Arabidopsis thaliana: one gene and its partner. The protein of the gene in region 2 interacts with the protein of the main gene of each other region in a pairwise test. Each region holds a gene or a part of one and is shown on either strand. Other genes may lie near its edges.

Region 1 (8,864 bases), on a different chromosome or scaffold from region 2:
TATCGACCACATACTAAGGGTCCACTAACCATCCGAGAGAGAGATCTTGAGCTTGGTTGGTGGCATCCCTCCATTTCGTTTCAACTCTTCCGTTCGCTTAAAGTTTAGATGAATATAAATCTCTTTTTTAAGATGAATATCAGAATATGATCTATTTATTAAAGTCAGTTAAACATTATTTGTTTTATAAAGTCTCAAATATTTTATATATTCGATCCTTTCTATTTATTTTACCATATGTAACGTTGTATTAGACCGACGTGTAACGTTATTGTCCCTACCTTACTTTTTCTTACTTTTAGTAAATTTTCTTACAAGAAAAAGCAGAGAATAATAGTAATCGAAGGATATGTGCTGAAGGAAAAGATGAACCATCTGGGAAGGGTATATATGTCATTTTCACAAATGAATAGTATCTGCATTTCCATCAATCAATTTCTCCTGGCCGCTCGAGTTACTGACCAAAGGTGATGACTTTTATACACAATCCTTTCCTTCTCTTTCTCTATAGACAACTATACACAATCTTTACATTTTGCTCGTTATTTAATTTAGGCCTCTCAAAACTTTAGACCGGTTCTCAAAAAGAGAATACAAACAACACAACGACAAATAATACAGATATTTCTATATATGCCTATATATTGTAGTGTGTAGTACTCTTTATAATGAACAGATAGTCTACTGGAAACAAAGACTTCTTACAAGTTATCCCATCTAAAAACTTTATCTCGTGGAATTTGATATTACAAAGAATTGGAAAATAAAATCATGGGAAAAATTAAGGTCTTCTTTTGATTTAGTTTTTTTAGTTTCTCATTGATTTAAGGGTTTGATTAGTTTTGTTGCAACTCTCTGTGCAAACGTTATATATATAATTATTTAATTATATATTAAATTAATTATATAGTTATACATGTTTAACAATAATCATGGAAACTATTTTATACCGCTTCATAATGTTTATACAGTTCTCAACTAAAAGTTTCTTCATTTGAACGTTGTGATGCAACGCAGGTCCTGGTTAGCTGTTGGTAGTCATTAGAAAATATATTATTTTTACAAAAAAGAAATGGTCAGAACAATTTTACTATGAATATTAATTTACAAACGGTCTCTAAACTTCCACCAAGAGACCCCGTAATATAAAGTTACCAAAAAAAAATCAAAATATTTCAACGCAAATTTCATCATGTTATTAAAGTCGTATAAAATATTTGTACTTGATATATTCGATTTAACTAAAATCTATTTGTAGTTATAAAAGGAACAATTTAGACATAAACATATGTACCAAATCTCCTTAAAATATTCTTAATTAGTTATACTATGATTTATTTAAAATATAGTTTCAACTAGGGCTGAGAATATAGATAACTCATTTGGATTCGGGTTTTAGATATCTTACTATATTTTTTAATGTAGTTATTTTGTTAATTTATAATAAATTTAATTATATTTGAATATTTTTTATAAAATTTTGACAAATAGGATAAATAATTTTTATATAGTTTAGTTGCTTTGGGTATTTAGGTTTAAAATTAATTGAGAGATTTAGATTTATAATTATAAGTTTAGATATTAGATTATAGTAAAATTAAATATAATTAATATTTTGTATATTAAAATTATATGTTTGGGTAATGGATAATTTACGGACTGGCCCGATACCCACATGTTTACTAAAACTCTATTCAGTAAAATAATTTTCAACTCTAGATCTTCTCAACCCGGTTTTTTTGTTCGAGTATCAGTTTGGATATTGGGTTCGGTTTTTTTGCCCAGGTTTACTTTCAACAATTTAACTATATTGACTCTAAATATACAATTAGGATTAAATAAAATATATCTTTCATAGGTTTTATGTTAAAACATTATATATAAAATAGTAAGATCATTCGCTACAAATTATTTATCTATCGGACATTTCAGTTTGGAAGTTTAGTTCTTTAGCATATGTGTTGTTAACAATAAAACATATATATGTCTTGCAAGTGCGTATATATCTTTAACTAAAAAAGTGCGTGTATATACGATTTTGTTTGCTATATATAGCATACACATATAATGGTAATAGTCTCATCTAATTATAGAAACAATAAAATGCTATATATGTGTGTGGGCGTGTGTGTGTGTATAGTCGTTCGTATGTATAGATCACATACTTTGTTCTTAGTTTTATCTGAAAGCTGAAATGATCTACTCTTCTCGACCAAAACGAAGATCTACTCTTACATCCTTTTGGGTTTCATCAAATCAAATCTCCCATAGTCCCATTAACATTGTCTCTTCTTAACTAGAAATCCAATAAAGAGAGATAAATAAACAAAAAAAAAATACAAAATCCCATAAAACTGATCATAGTCGCTCTCTATCTCATTCTCTCTCCTCCCATACCCCATCAAATCTTTGATATTACTAACAGTCAGTCCAAGATATATTTATATAAGAAGACAAGAGAGTCTAGAAGAACTAGGAGTAGAAATAGGGCAAGCATTTGTATTCTAGTAGGAGGCTACCACTGCTTTTGTTCTCAGCTAGGTTGCTTATCGAACTAGAAGATGAACCTGAACCACCCATGTTTATGTTAGAATTAGTGCCTGTTCCACTAATCATTTGCTTCAAATCCCCATGCCCATTGTAGTAATTATAATACCCTTGTGTGAATTCCCCATTGTACCCTTTTGTCCTCTGGTCAATGTGGTGGTCTATCATCATCATCATCATTATCTCTTCTTGCTTCATCATAATCTCTGATCTTATCCCATTGACGTCTGAAGAAAAACTGGTGTGGTTCTTGTACTGATCACACATATTGTGGTTGAGCAAGAAACCATTTGCGTTCGAGGTGTTGTTGTTGCTGTCCGAGAGATAGAGATCTTGAGGATAATTAGGGTTAATATAGGAAATTATCTGTTTGTCACCAGCTTCGAAGCCATTGATGCTGGAGATGAGGGATTTTGTTGGGTATTGATTAGGGTTTTCAGCATACGGATTGTAAGAAGAAGATGGGATTGTTGTTGGTGAGGTTGGTCTTTTCACATCCTGAGAAATAGGGTTTAGATAAGGAGAAGCCATGGCTGATGATGATGAATCAGAGGAAGAAGACAAGAGTTTCTTCCTTAGCTTTGTGTTCCAATAGTTTTTTATGTCGTTGTCTGTTCGTCCCGGTAGATGAGCTGCTATTATTGACCACCTACAAGTTTCAATTGATGTATATTAATAGCTAATATTGGAGAAAAGTATAGCACTCTTGATGAATTAAAGTTGCTCGTAGTTTTGACTAAATCATGGAATCAATGTAGCTCGTGATTTTGACTAGATTTATGAAGAAATTAAGCACGTTTGGAAATATTTTGATCATTACTTCAAAATAACACATAAATTCAAAATTAGATTTAGGAGAAATTTTGTTACTATTATAAGATTAATTGAAGGAGAGTGTGAATTAATATTTTCTTTAAACCTATCTAAGCAGATAACTATGAAAGGGCCTTCACAGGCAAGTGGGCGAAAAAATGATTTCATTTCTACATTTTTTGTAAGGATCTTATATGATTAAAGATGATTTCAAAAGGAATTAATTAGAGAACCTGCTTCCTATGGCAGCGAAGAGACTAAAAATGATCCTGTCTTCTTCCTCAGAGAAGTCACCATGCTTTATGTTTGGTCTCAAATAGTTTAGCCACCTCAGTCTACAACTCTTCCCACATCTCCTCAAACCTTAAACCACAACAAAGAATGGCATAAGCTCTTATTTGGGCTTAGAAGCTCGAAAAGGTTATCTAGGATTAAGAACATGTGTATGAACTTACCGGCTTTGAGGGGGAAAGAGATCCAATTTCCACCATTACCATACTTTTCAATGTAATCTCTAAGTTTAGAGTCTTCTTCAGGCGACCAAGGCCCTCGCTTCACTTTTGTCTTGTCGCAACACGGAGCTCTTCCCATTTCTCTCGTTAGTGAATTGAAGTTTGAAGAAGAGAAAAGAAAAAGAGAGAAATTGTTATCTCTTACTTGCTTTTTTTAGGATGGACTTTTTGTGTTTATGGAGGAGTAGTTGAATATGTGCCCTTTTAATAAGAGACTTGGATTTGGACACACCCTATCAATTATTATTATATATTATTATCTGGAGAACCAATTATTTATTTCATTTTGTCTCTAAAGCTATGGGTATGGAGAAGTCAACATGATTGACATGCATGCATATTTATTGTTCGTGTTTGAAAAAATTAGATTTCCAATTATTCATTTTATTTTAGCTCGCGCTTCGTTTGATAAAATTACGTTAAAACAAATTAACTGTTCAAAAGATAAACTTTATTTATCCCTTCTTTATGAGGATTTCAATGTCTTTTATTTCATAACTTGGGGTTAGTCTGGAATATCCCTACCAAAATCCAGAGTAATTCCAGAGTAACTTGGTTGTCAGCATACGCATGGTCCAAACTCCAAACAATCAAAATTGAATCATTAATATCAAGAGAAATGCAAATATTTAAAATCCAGAACTTTGTAATGAGTTGACAAAAAAAAAAGTCATTAACTAAAATTATCAGCAGGTTTCTTGATTTGATCATTCGTCCAAATGTATTTTCATACATATGCACATCAACTTGCTAGTTAGTTTTCATCATGAATTTCAAAAGTAAAAAGGAAAAAGAAAAAAAAAACAGTCCCAAGTGGTGTTGATATTACACGGATAAAAGGAAGAAAACATGTTGGAAGAGAAGATTGCATTGGACGGACCAGTGAACTATATGGAACTGTCTGATTATAAAGTGACAAAAAAACAAAACTCAATTTTTGTGAAATTCTATTAACCAAAAATGTATCATCACGAGTTGACTTACCAATGTTGTTTTTCATTATTACATTTAGTAAAGTGCCAAAAGAACCCTTCATAATTATTCATTCGTACTACTTTGATGGACACTTGCATGCATGAATAAATCTTTTGAATTATTTTTTCACACAAACATATAAATATATGTACATAGATGAGTTTCGTGATATGTGCTCTATATATCTATACATATATGAATATCATGATGATCAGGTGTATTTTTGGCCCGACTAATCAACTTCAGAGCTATAATGACCCATCGATGTATCCATATATATGTGTACAATTGATAGATCTACTGTTTTACATCATTTAAGGTACATGTGTTTGATTTACGCATGCAGATATAGTCACACACTCATTTCCACAAATGTGCAAGTAATATGGTACAAATGGCCAAACAAAAGTTTCCTGATTCGTGGTGTACTCCTTACATTTGCTATATTACATTTACATGTGTTACAAAAGGAACTTATACGTGTAGTTACATTCTTTTAGTCATAATTATAGGGAAATAACCTCTCTCTTTTTCTTGTAAAACTGGTAACTTAGTTGTTATTGTTGAAATGTTGTCTAGTCTTGTAAGATAAATTAAGGGTTTAAAATCTCCAAATTGGGCTGCAAATTCACTACAGCCCAAACATATAGGATATTAGGTTGATAAGTAATTATTAAAAAAAAATTAATTTTTAAATACAAATCTGAAATTAAACATGGTAAATAATAATACACATTGTAATTAAGCTATGTATGTATGTGCCTTACAACTTCTAGATGTTATATGCCGTGAAGAATGTCAAATTAGTATCCTCAATATTCTACTCTTTTAATGTAAAATATAATCAAAAACAATATTCTAAATATATATGTGATGTTGTAGTTAAAAATATGCATATTAATATCTTTATTTTAATTTTATATTTTCTATATAAGAAAAGGTGTCTTTAGTCAAATGGTTGATGGTCTATATTTGTAGTCTTATACGTCGGATTTTGACTCGAGTAAATCGTGTTATCATGTGAAGTACTAGGGACTGGATTTTGGGTGAAGCTTTGTCGAGGCAAATAATGTCAACAATATTTTTTTCTAGGTAAAATTAATTAAAAACACGTAATTTATTGAGTGGTTAATGAAAATAATAAAGAATTTGAACTGCAGGTGATCTTTGGCTTTTTAATTCTTTTGTCAATTTACGATTGCATCAATCCCTTTCTCCTACGTCTGCCCTTGAGTTGTAATGTTCAATGCATATGTAGAAAATAGTATGGAATAATTAGCATAAGAGGGAAAACAGTATTGACTCATTGGTGTTCCATGGTTTCCAGACGCAATTAAGAACGATATATACTCATAATTGCTTTTAAACATTTTTGCACCAGAAATTATTAGTATCACTGAATATTTCTCATGCGTCACCTCTTAGACAGGCAATTATTGTATATTTTCTGATCAGTATTATAATTGCATCCATAATAAGAATTATTAGGAAAACAACAACTCATTTCTTATATGCGTGAAGGAGGCAGTAAATAAATAAAAGTATGCTACTATATATGTGTTGACGAAAAGAGATTGATTTATATTTTATTGAAACAAAACAAATAATTTAGATTTAATTGAGTCAAACTATGATTGGATGATGGATACCAAAAAGACAAGAGTCTTTTTCTAGTTTGACTAAGTGTTTATAACTCTGTTTTTCCTCAACGGTTGGCAAACTAAAGTGGACAATTTTACTGAAGTTTTTTGCCAGGCTGTTAAACCATTTCAATATATCAATTTCTAAAAGCAAATTATATAGATATATATACTTTATATGTTATATTAAACAGATATTTTTCAACCTATAAATTATATTATATGTTAATATTAAACAGATATTTTTCAACCTATTAATTATAAAAGTTGTTACCTAATACCCACTGTTACAAATAGACATTAGTAATTTTATGCCAGCAGTATATATCCTTACTATATAGTATGTTAAAAGAGATTTTATGAAAAGGGTACTAAATTTGACCCAATCGATAGTTTAATTTATATTTTGAATTCTTAGCTAAGCAAATTATATCAAGTATAGTATTTTTCTTATTTTGTTGTTTTAAAATAGAGCCATAAGAAAAAATAATATTATTTTTAACCCAGTCAGATAATTTTAGTTTATATTTTTCCTTTTCCCTTTCAATTTTTTTATTATATGAACTCATTATATCTGATACATAGAACGTTATATATATCCAATTTTCTATTAATAAATCAAAAGCTTATCTAAATATCCTATATAAACTTTCCATGGATTTCATATAAAACTTATTATATTGAAAATAATGTTGATGGTGAATATTGGAAAACAAATCTCGACATAGTTATGTATTATATCTAATATGTTATATTTTTAAAACAAATAATTAGAAATCTACACAATAAATGTTAAAAAAAAAACCTCAAGTCTGATAATATTAATTAAAAAACAAAATTTTTTTTTTTTTTAAAACTCAAGTTATATCTAACATTTAAAACAGATGAACAAAAACGGAGTCAACAAGTATTTAGTGGTCCAAAACATTGGCAATATAGAAGAGGATTTCGAGATCATTGCCTAAATAAAAAGAACTTTTTTACTTTATCAAAATATTAGCATACACATAGAATTTTATTTTTGTTCAAAAGTAATAATGAATATTAGAAGATTACATGCATAAAAATTTATTATAATTCAAAAATAATAAATATGGACTAGATTTTTCTCCTTTCGTGTTTAATATCTTTTTTATAATGAATTTATCTGTTTGTTTTATTAATATGTACATATCAATATAAAAGGCGACATACTTGAAAATGTAAAATATGCTCTCTTGATTTTCAAAATGACTTCAATCCCAAATGGCTTAAATTCTTATGTTGACGATACTGTGAACATTTGTGGTTTTACTCCCATCGAAATGAGTTCCAACCTTAGGAATCATGAGTCTAAGATGGTTCACTCAATGTTCAATACTTCTGACCACACGAATCATCATGGTTTGTTTTCTTCCTCTCGTGTGTTTAATTTTTATCAAGATTCACATGTTTCTTCATCTTCTTTTGGTTTCAACAATTCACATATGGCTTATCATATGAGAAAAAACATGGTTTCCACTTTTGGGATGCCTTGCATAACTCAAAACTCAAATAACCCTCATCTTTCTCAAATCTCTATTACTCAAACTATCACAAATAGCTATTCTGCTATTGTTCCTACCTATAATCTTATTACTTCCCAAAATGAATATCAACGTGCCAAAGAACCCAACATCTTCAATCCTCCTTTTTACCCTCCAAATTTTGTTGACAAAAATGTTGGAAACCAATGCCAGATCTTGAATCCTACACCCCTCAATACCATTTTTCCACATCAAGCTTCCATATTTCCTAGGAATGTAGACAAATTTTCTTTTTCACCAAAACAGAACCCTCACCAATATGTTTCGTATCGCCAACCCCTGAAAAGACATTGTAGACCAACCAAAAAATTTGAAAATACTTTTAGTGATTTTGATTCTGGAAAAGATATTGAATACGATGGTCGGACGCATAGCTTACCATATGAGAAATACGGTCCATATACATGTCCCAAATGTAACAGTGTGTTTGACACTTCACAAAAGTTTGCTGCACATATATCATCGATGCACTACAAAAATGAGTCCATAGAAGAGAAATTTAAGAGATATAATGCAAGGAACAAAAAGAGATTACGTAAAAGAAACCAAATGATCCATGAAGAATCTAACAATATCCAACCAGAAGAGATAGTTGCAGAGGAAAGCGGAGGCGATAACAACATAGCAAGTAGCAAGTGACATTGAAACTTTACAACATCAAGAAAAATCAAAGGATATAGAATCCTTGTTATGCATTTCTCAAATGAACATTACAATTATTTAGAATTATTATATTATAAATTATTTAAAAATATGAGTCTCTATCTTTCTATTCTTATGTGTTTTGATGAAAGAAATTGTATTTGTAAGTT
Region 2 (8,765 bases):
AATTAATGAGTGATTAATTAGTCGGCTGACTTTCTTATTCATAATATCTTCTGATCATATTTGTGAATCGTAATTGTTTTGCTTTTTAGATTTGTCAAATATGCACAACACCTTTTAACTATCAATTCGTTTTCTTTTCTGTTTAGTCTTTGATATATAGTTTTCTTGATATTTTGATTGGTTTACTAATTACTACAAGCAGGCCGATACTTTTAGTTATTTATATTTTACGAGGGAAAATTATGGTCAATGAACATATTCTAGTTAAAACATAAAAAGATATCACATATATAAGTAATTAAAATATAAAATTTTGTCATTTGTAAATATGTTTGGGCGAAAATGTTTGGACATCCCATAGGTTTTATGTGGCTATGCGTAAAGTTTCTAATAGTTAGACTAATCAACGTTCCTAAGAGATCATCAGAACTAGTTACACCTTACACGTAACGTTAATGATTCGTCTAAACTAAGAGACGATAATTAGCCACAATAGAAAATACTATATTTTGATTTTTGAGAAGTTTTATCTTCATAAAGCTTAGACATTTGAAAAAGAATAGTAAGATTATAACAAATATATTTTACAATTTTCAATATATACTAAGAAAGATGAATTTGCCTAAACTCAAAATTAATATGTGTAAGAATTTTTATAATTGGTTTTCTCCATTTCTTTTAACAAAATCATATGTATATTCAAATATACTACCTGGCAATTATTATATGCATGCTTATGTTGGTTTATGTAATAACTTGGATTTATTTTGTTACACTCAATTTCTATAAAACACAAATTTGAGATTTTTAAAAAATATTTATTTAAAATATCTTCATAATAATTCGAATTTACTTTTATATTATTTTTTTCTTTTGTATTCTCTAATTCAATTATATTTTTAACGTTACCATATATATATATATATATATATATATATATATATTACGCTGGTCCTAATTAGTAGTATAATCTATGTAACACCGTATATTTTGATTCTTTGAACAGCTTATATGAATAATCATCACATAAGAAGGAGCCTTCTTCATCACTATTCACTACATATAAAAATTCGTTTCAGAAAAAAAAGATCAATGTTCTGTCCACATCAGAGTATCAAAATAATTTTCTAAATTTAGTGCTACATCTTTTAACGACAATTGTATGTCAATGAGATAACTCCAATGGTGGAAACAAAAGAGAAGCATTACAAATTTGCTTTTATATATCTATAAAGCACTGTAACTATGGTTTTATAAATAATAATATCAAACTGGTAACTCATTCAAGAGTCACAGAGGAGAAAAAACAATCCATCTGTTTCATAAAAAAAGCAGTTGGATTCTATTATATCATGTGGATCTCGTGAACTACCATAGAGCCATGGATTAATCACTGTCATTCTGTCAATAATAATTCTATCTATTTATTATTCTGTTGTCACATATGTACAAAATATATGTAAACTTCTCAGTTCTGTCTGAATCGCTGAAATTTTCGCTAAATGTGCAATTAATTTCCCGATCGCTTGAAGTTAACAGTTACGACGAGAAACTGACGTCACTTTTTAATTATTGTAAAGAATGAAAAAGAGTGTTCGTATAGGGTAATTGTATTATTGTAAAAAACTATGTATCCAAACACAATAAATACACGAACAACATTTATTTTCACTCACTTTGATCACTGTACGTAATAAGGAAAAACATTTTATTTGAATGAATATTTGTACAGATTGGAGAACCACGTAAGCCCATCTCTTTTATTTCCAAAAATAACGAAAAATTCTCAAAGGGAATAGTTTATAATGTAAATAAAATTCCAAAAATAAAACACAAAAGATATAAAGCAGCAAGAGAAAAAAAAAGTCCATGCTTTCATATTCATTGCTTTAATCTCTCTCTCTCTCTCAGACATAGACACAGCTAAGCTTCCCATCTGAAAGGAGTTTCATGTCCTAAGGACCATATTATAACCTCTCTATCTCTCTCTAAGTATCAGCAAAAAAACAGAGATTTATAGAGAGAGAAAAAAACTATGGCTCACATAAAGATCTAACAGAGACAGTAGTATAGTCCCACTTCCCCACCACCAAAGCTTCGATCATCATCATCATCATCATCATGGATCCGGATCCGGATCATAACCATCGACCCAACTTCCCTCTCCAGCTTCTTGATTCTTCTACCTCCTCCTCTTCCACTTCCTTAGCCATCATCTCTACTACTTCCGAACCTAACTCCGAACCTAAGAAGCCTCCTCCTAAACGAACCTCTACTAAAGACCGACACACCAAAGTCGAAGGCCGAGGCCGTCGGATCCGTATGCCTGCCATGTGTGCTGCACGTGTCTTTCAGCTCACACGTGAGCTTGGTCACAAATCCGACGGTGAAACTATTGAGTGGCTACTCCAACAAGCAGAACCAGCGGTTATAGCCGCTACAGGGACTGGAACCATTCCGGCTAACTTCACTTCTTTAAACATCTCACTTCGTAGCTCAAGATCTTCTCTCTCTGCTGCTCATCTTCGTACAACTCCTAGTAGCTATTACTTTCATTCACCACATCAGTCCATGACTCATCATCTTCAACATCAGCATCAGGTTCGTCCCAAGAACGAGTCACATTCTTCGTCTTCTTCTTCTTCACAGCTTTTAGATCACAACCAAATGGGTAACTATCTAGTACAATCAACTGCTGGATCTTTACCTACGAGTCAGAGTCCTGCAACGGCACCGTTTTGGAGTAGTGGTGACAACACACAGAATCTTTGGGCTTTTAATATTAATCCTCATCATTCCGGTGTTGTCGCCGGAGATGTTTACAACCCCAACAGTGGTGGTAGTGGCGGCGGTAGTGGAGTTCATTTGATGAATTTTGCAGCTCCTATTGCTTTGTTTTCTGGACAGCCTTTGGCTTCTGGTTATGGAGGAGGAGGAGGTGGCGGTGGAGAACATAGCCATTATGGAGTTTTAGCGGCGTTGAATGCTGCTTACCGACCGGTGGCGGAGACGGGGAACCATAACAACAACCAGCAAAACCGTGACGGAGATCATCATCACAACCATCAAGAAGATGGAAGCACCAGTCATCATTCCTAGGCAAACATACACAAACAAATATATTCTGTGAGATTTATTTTTCTTTTTTTGTCCTTTCGTTTGTTTGTTTGTTCTTAACAAGCGTGTTTTTTTTGCATTGCTTCTTTTTCATATATTTTTATTTATTTCTAAATTCTAATATTCTACGGATTTCATCTTGTTTATTTTTCTGATTAATGTATTGAGTAAGTAATTAAGAACCTGATAATCGATATGTTTTAGTTTGTGGTTTTTGCATGCAAGGCTTTGGTTTTATTATTCTAGAGATTTTTGCTTGAAGTAGTTGTCTTGTGAAATGTTTTCCTCATTACTATTGAGTGTGAGAGTTTTCTAATACTTGATTAGGGTTTTTGAACAATTTTTATATATGTATATTAATTCAGTACGGATTATCAATAAATTATTTCGCATGCCAAATTATTATCTTCCACTTCGTTCATGGTTACATTGTCTCGAAGAAGCTACATCTTATGCATTGTGAGCAATTATTCAGGTTCTAGCTATCTCTTTTAATATGTTAATTTCTTTGCATGATTAACATCTTACTCCTGACTGGTCTATTGGTGACTATGCTAAGATAATGTAGATATATATAGTAACAAAATCATATAGGTCAAAGCATTAAGTGTGATTGTTTTGGTTAATTATAAGTGTGTTGACGAGGGGATGCATTGTAGATATGATGCCATATTAATGCCAGTAGGTTTATGCGCATGGTGGTTTGGATACGTTCAATTTATAGCCGTTGCAAAAATTGAAGGCATTTAATTTTGCTAATGATATTACCAAAATTATTTGATTATGAATCAAAAGATACAAGGAGAATTATCAAAAAAAAAATATATAGGTCCATTATCCGTATAAGGTAGCTAAGAACTTAATTAGTCTGGTGCTATGTTTGAAGACTCACGTACGATTTACAATCTCTGGATCTATGAAACTCATCACCAAGCAGGAACCTGTATTTATACGTCAATATTTGTGAATTTTCGGATACCCAAAAAATACCAAGAATATATATTTCATTTTCTGCTGAAAATCAGAGAAAAATGTGTTTTAAAAACAATGTCTATAAACAAATTTATAGATTGAAGTTAGAACTAAAAACTTTTGATGGTTATAGATTTCAGCTTGATCATTTATTTCTGAAGTGTTTTCGTTGGATGAAACATAGATTATATATGTCTATAATTAATTGAGACATATACATTGATGATATACAAAATAACCAGGAATTTTTCGTTATACAGAAAAATACACAAGTCTATGTAACATGCGTAATAACCATATGGTCCATATCGCTGCATTTTGTGTCGGTCTACATTATTGGATTTATTTTAGTATAATGTATGTGATACGTTCTTACCATGCATGGGTATACATAGAGAAAGGTGTATAAATCAACGAGCATGGGAATTATGACGTTAATAATTCTAAAATAATGCACACACATCCTGTTAATATAAACAATATAAATTATATATCAGTTTATTATGGAAATAATACTTGAAACTTCTATAGATCGGTGTGAACCATTCCTTGACATCATAGGCATGTCGGTTATATAACCTCATCCATATGTTCTATCAATTAATCAAATATGGTAATTAAAGAAAGTCAAATATTGTGACATACATGCATTTTTTTTTACTAACGGTTGATATCAAGCATTTATAGACGAACGTCTATTTGATGATCTCAATAATCATATCAATTGGCGGCTAAACTAAACTAGATTTCACGATGACAAAAGTAAAATGTATATATAGACACTAAAACACAGATGATGTCATGAATCTTTTTTGATATTTGTATATTATTGTTTACGTATTACTTTCTAGATAAACAATAAGATACGAGTCATGACCGATCATTGTTTCTATGTCGGCGTTTTATTTTATAGTAAAAAGAAATCTGCAACAAAAGGAAAGGGCACAACAAGTAGATCAAGTAGTAGTAATCTGGCATTACTCAATAGGTCCAAAAGGAATTAAAATGTTCACTAAAGTATGCTTAAAATATAGATGTATGGATCTACGTAGTTATAAGTAGTTAAGTACCATTATAGAAGAGTGTATTCATGTGGGTTCTTTGTTTTTGATCTGGAAAAGATTAGATGATCATCATTCCATCACTTGCTTATCTATTTTGTTTAATCATTCTTCTTCTTCACTATAATCATTCTATATATTTCTGGAAGATATCATGATAAAGAAGATATATTTATCTATAATCACAAAATGTTTTGAACCTTTTCATTTATGAAAGAAAAAGAACTAATTAGATGATACTTTTCTAAGTTCCAGCCCAGTTTGGATAGTGAATATATTTTCTCCATCCCCATTGATTGGTATTGATGGGCTAGATATATGACATGGGATCTCATAAGGCCTATTTATTAAATGTTTTGTAAGGCCCACGTATTGGGCTAAGAGAAAAAAAAAAGAGAGTACTCAAGTATAGGTTTGTGTTTTTCAAGGCAAAAGTCAAAGTATTGTCTAGAGACACTGGCACTTGATAGATTAGACGCATAATGTATTCAACATAATCAATTTAGAATAAAAATTACAAAATGTAGTATAGTAAAGAGTTATACTAATAGTTTTTTTTTAGAAGTATATAAGACCAATTAAAGGAAATAAATCGCAATTAATATTCTACTTTTGTTTAGTAAGGAAATAAAATTATCGACAGTAATGAGTAAAATTTTCGGTACCTCTTCATCCATTTTTCTTTTTACCTAAAATTTGAAAGTAAAAAAAAAGAAAAGAAGCGAGTGGTCATAAAAGTCCAAGAAGTCTCTGTAAGTGAAACCTGGCCTCCACTTTTGTTTTTCCACTTCTACGGTAAGTGAAAGAGAGAGAGAGAGAGGAAAAAAAAGGGGAAAGCTTAAGATATTGGAGAGTAACAATGCCTTCAAATTCAGGAGATGATAATGTTCTTCAAGTTCTCATAAAGAACTTTGATGTCCTTGCTCTGTAAATCTCTCTCCCTCTCTGCCTCTTCTTTAATTTCTCTTTACAGATCCTATCTTGATATTTTGTGTGTGTGTTAATTAGATCCTATCTAGTTTCTTTAGTTTTATTGCTAACTGGGTTTAGCTACATTGTCTACTTAGATTCTTGAAAATGAAACCCTCTTTAGATTAGTACTAATTTTTTGGAGTTTTTGTTTTTGAACGGAATCTTGAAAGTTGAAACTTACAACATTTTTGCTTTTGCAGCCCATTGGTTACACTCGTCTATCCTCTGTAAGTAAAACCAATCTCTCTCATATATACATTTGTGTGTTAAATCTGTTGCATCAGTTGATAGAGATTTTATTGTAAGCAAAACTCACATTTTTAGGCCAATCTTTAGTTCAGATTCATATGAACATTAGAAATTTTTGTGGAAAAAGAATCAAAAACTTAACCTTTTGAAACATTTGATCCTCTGTCATTAAGGAATAATTAAAAAAGAGTACGAATCTTGACTTAGATAGATGCACGTATATCCACACACACCCACTTAGAATCCAAGACACGAGGCATTACACTTTTGTATGTATTCAATTATTTATTACAAAAAAATATGAGAAAACTAATTATGTTTGTGAAAAAAATGAACAGATATGCATCAGTGAAAGCAATAGAGACAAGATCATTACCAGAAGATGAACAATGGCTTACTTACTGGGTTCTTTACGCACTTATCTCTCTCTTTGAACTCACTTTCTCCAAACCTCTCGAGTGGTTAGTGAATTCATTAACACTTTTAATATCTTCTTAACATGTATTCATCATAATATTAGTTTTTGTTTTTGTTATCATAAGGTTTCCTATATGGCCATACATGAAGTTGTTTGGGATCTGTTGGTTAGTGTTACCACAATTCAATGGAGCAGAACATATCTACAAACATTTCATTAGACCATTCTACAGAGATCCTCAAAGAGCTACCACCAAAATTTGGTATGTTCCTCACAAGAAATTCAATTTCTTCCCTAAACGCGACGACGACGACATTCTCACTGCTGCTGAAAAATACATGGAACAACACGGTACCGAAGCGTTTGAGCGAATGATCGTTAAGGTAAGTAAAATTCACATTGACATTTACATAATCATTTTCATATGTAATGTACATTTGGTAATGAATGTTGTGTTTTGTGAATGCAGAAGGATAGTTATGAAAGAGGTAGGAGTAGTAGAGGAATCAATAATCACATGATCTTTGATGATGACTATAGGTACTAATAAGTTCTTAAACCGGTTTAATTAGCTACTTTCAGTTTATAAGTTTGCTATGTGACAATATATTGTCTGTTTCTATGGTTGTTATAATTTGCGTGGATTATGTATAAGCCCTTATTTAGGACTGCTTATTTTTGTGAAAAATCAAATAAACATTTTCTCTCCTTTGCGTGTGTAAGCAAACTTAAAGTCAAAATTAGTGGGCCAAGCTCTGTCCAGTTTTACACTTAGATGATTAGACTATTCAATTATTTAACGAGTTGGGCTTGTAACAAAATGGGCCGGGCTTAGATAATTATTAATGATATGCGAATTTTGAAAGGAGCTAATGATGAAATAAAAATTTGAATAAACGGGAGCGAAGCAGAAGCGTAGGTTCTCAAATCACGAATAGCCTCTCGAATCATCGCCGGCGATCGACGTTGGTACTGCTTCTACGTCCGGCGAGGATATTTTCTGGATTCTGTTCTTTCGCTATTGATCAATCATAGAGATTCTTCATTGAGGTTTTTCAGATTGATTAGGATTTGCTTCGTCTTCGATTTAATCATAATCACGAGGATTTGAAAAATATTGGTGAACAACGATTTGGTGAAGAAGAATTGGAGTATAAATTGTTTGTTTCTGAGGATTCTTCAGAGTGTATTTTCTTGTTGTTTGGTTAATGTGCATTTTGGAGTTGAGAGTTTGGGGGATTTTGAAATCTTAGATTTTGAAGGAGGAAGCTAAAGTAGTAGAATGGGTTAGATAAGAATTAGGAATATGATTGGAAAGACATTCGAGTGATGTTAAACGATTTGGTTGAGAAATATGATTCGAAAGGGAATTAGCTCTTTGCAGCAGCTTCAATGGCTGATTCCTTGAGAACTAGTTTCTCTGAGAGAGACGTTGAACAGGTACTTTACTCTTTTATCACCTTTCTTCTGTTGAAACATTGGAAGATGGAAACTTTTGTTCATATATGCTTAGAATACGCAATTGCTCTGAAGAATCACATTGAGTTTGATGTGTTTATATAACTCACTTTCTACACCTAAGTCATTAAAAATGTTATCTTTTGATGTGATTCCCTTTTAGTGGGTATGGTATTAAGAAGTGTGTCTTTCCTATTCAGGCCATTACGTCACTTAAGAAAGGGTCTTACTTGTTGAAATATGGACGTAGAGGGAAGCCTAAGTTTTGTCCATTCCAGCTCACAAGTGTAAGGTTTTCTTGGACTCCTATGTTTCTCTTTAGAGAGAGAGAACTTTCTGTATTCTTTTGGTTTGCTCAATTATATTACATGTGAATTTGTCATAGGACGAGTCTGCATTAGTATGGTACTCTGGCAAAGAAGAGAAGCAGATTAAACTGAGTCAAGTCCTGAGAATTGTTCCTGGACAACGCACGGTGAGTTTCTCTCTGCAATATTCATGTATGCTCATAAACAAGT

The links. The genes of interacting proteins can lie anywhere in the genome.
Region 1: the proteins of TCP15 (region 2) and MYB37 interact in binary tests that used the Arabidopsis thaliana proteins (3 or more experiments, as listed by UniProt).

The regions. Positions count from the first base shown.
Region 1 is NC_003076.8:7,691,321-7,700,184, reverse strand, and holds MYB37 (myb domain protein 37), read right to left. Parts: upstream 4,051-8,864; 5' UTR 3,952-4,050; coding exon 3,816-3,951; intron 3,724-3,815; coding exon 3,594-3,723; intron 3,197-3,593; coding exon 2,473-3,196; 3' UTR 2,163-2,472; downstream 1-2,162. Other genes in the region: AT5G22990 (C2H2-like zinc finger protein), read left to right, coding at 7,717-8,691. UniProt on the Arabidopsis thaliana protein: Transcription activator of genes involved in the regulation of meristematic competence, such as CUC2.
Region 2 is NC_003070.9:26,214,328-26,223,092, forward strand, and holds TCP15 (TCP family transcription factor), read left to right. Parts: upstream 1-1,681; 5' UTR 1,682-2,121; coding exon 2,122-3,099; 3' UTR 3,100-3,744; downstream 3,745-8,765. Other genes in the region: HVA22C (HVA22 homologue C), read left to right, coding at 6,010-6,077, 6,323-6,349, 6,710-6,832, 6,914-7,172, 7,259-7,336; AT1G69710 (Regulator of chromosome condensation (RCC1) family with FYVE zinc finger domain-containing protein), read left to right, coding at 7,998-8,018, 8,164-8,229, 8,448-8,534, 8,633-8,722. UniProt on the Arabidopsis thaliana protein: Transcription factor involved the regulation of plant development. Together with TCP14, modulates plant stature by promoting cell division in young internodes. Represses cell proliferation in developing leaf blade and specific floral tissues.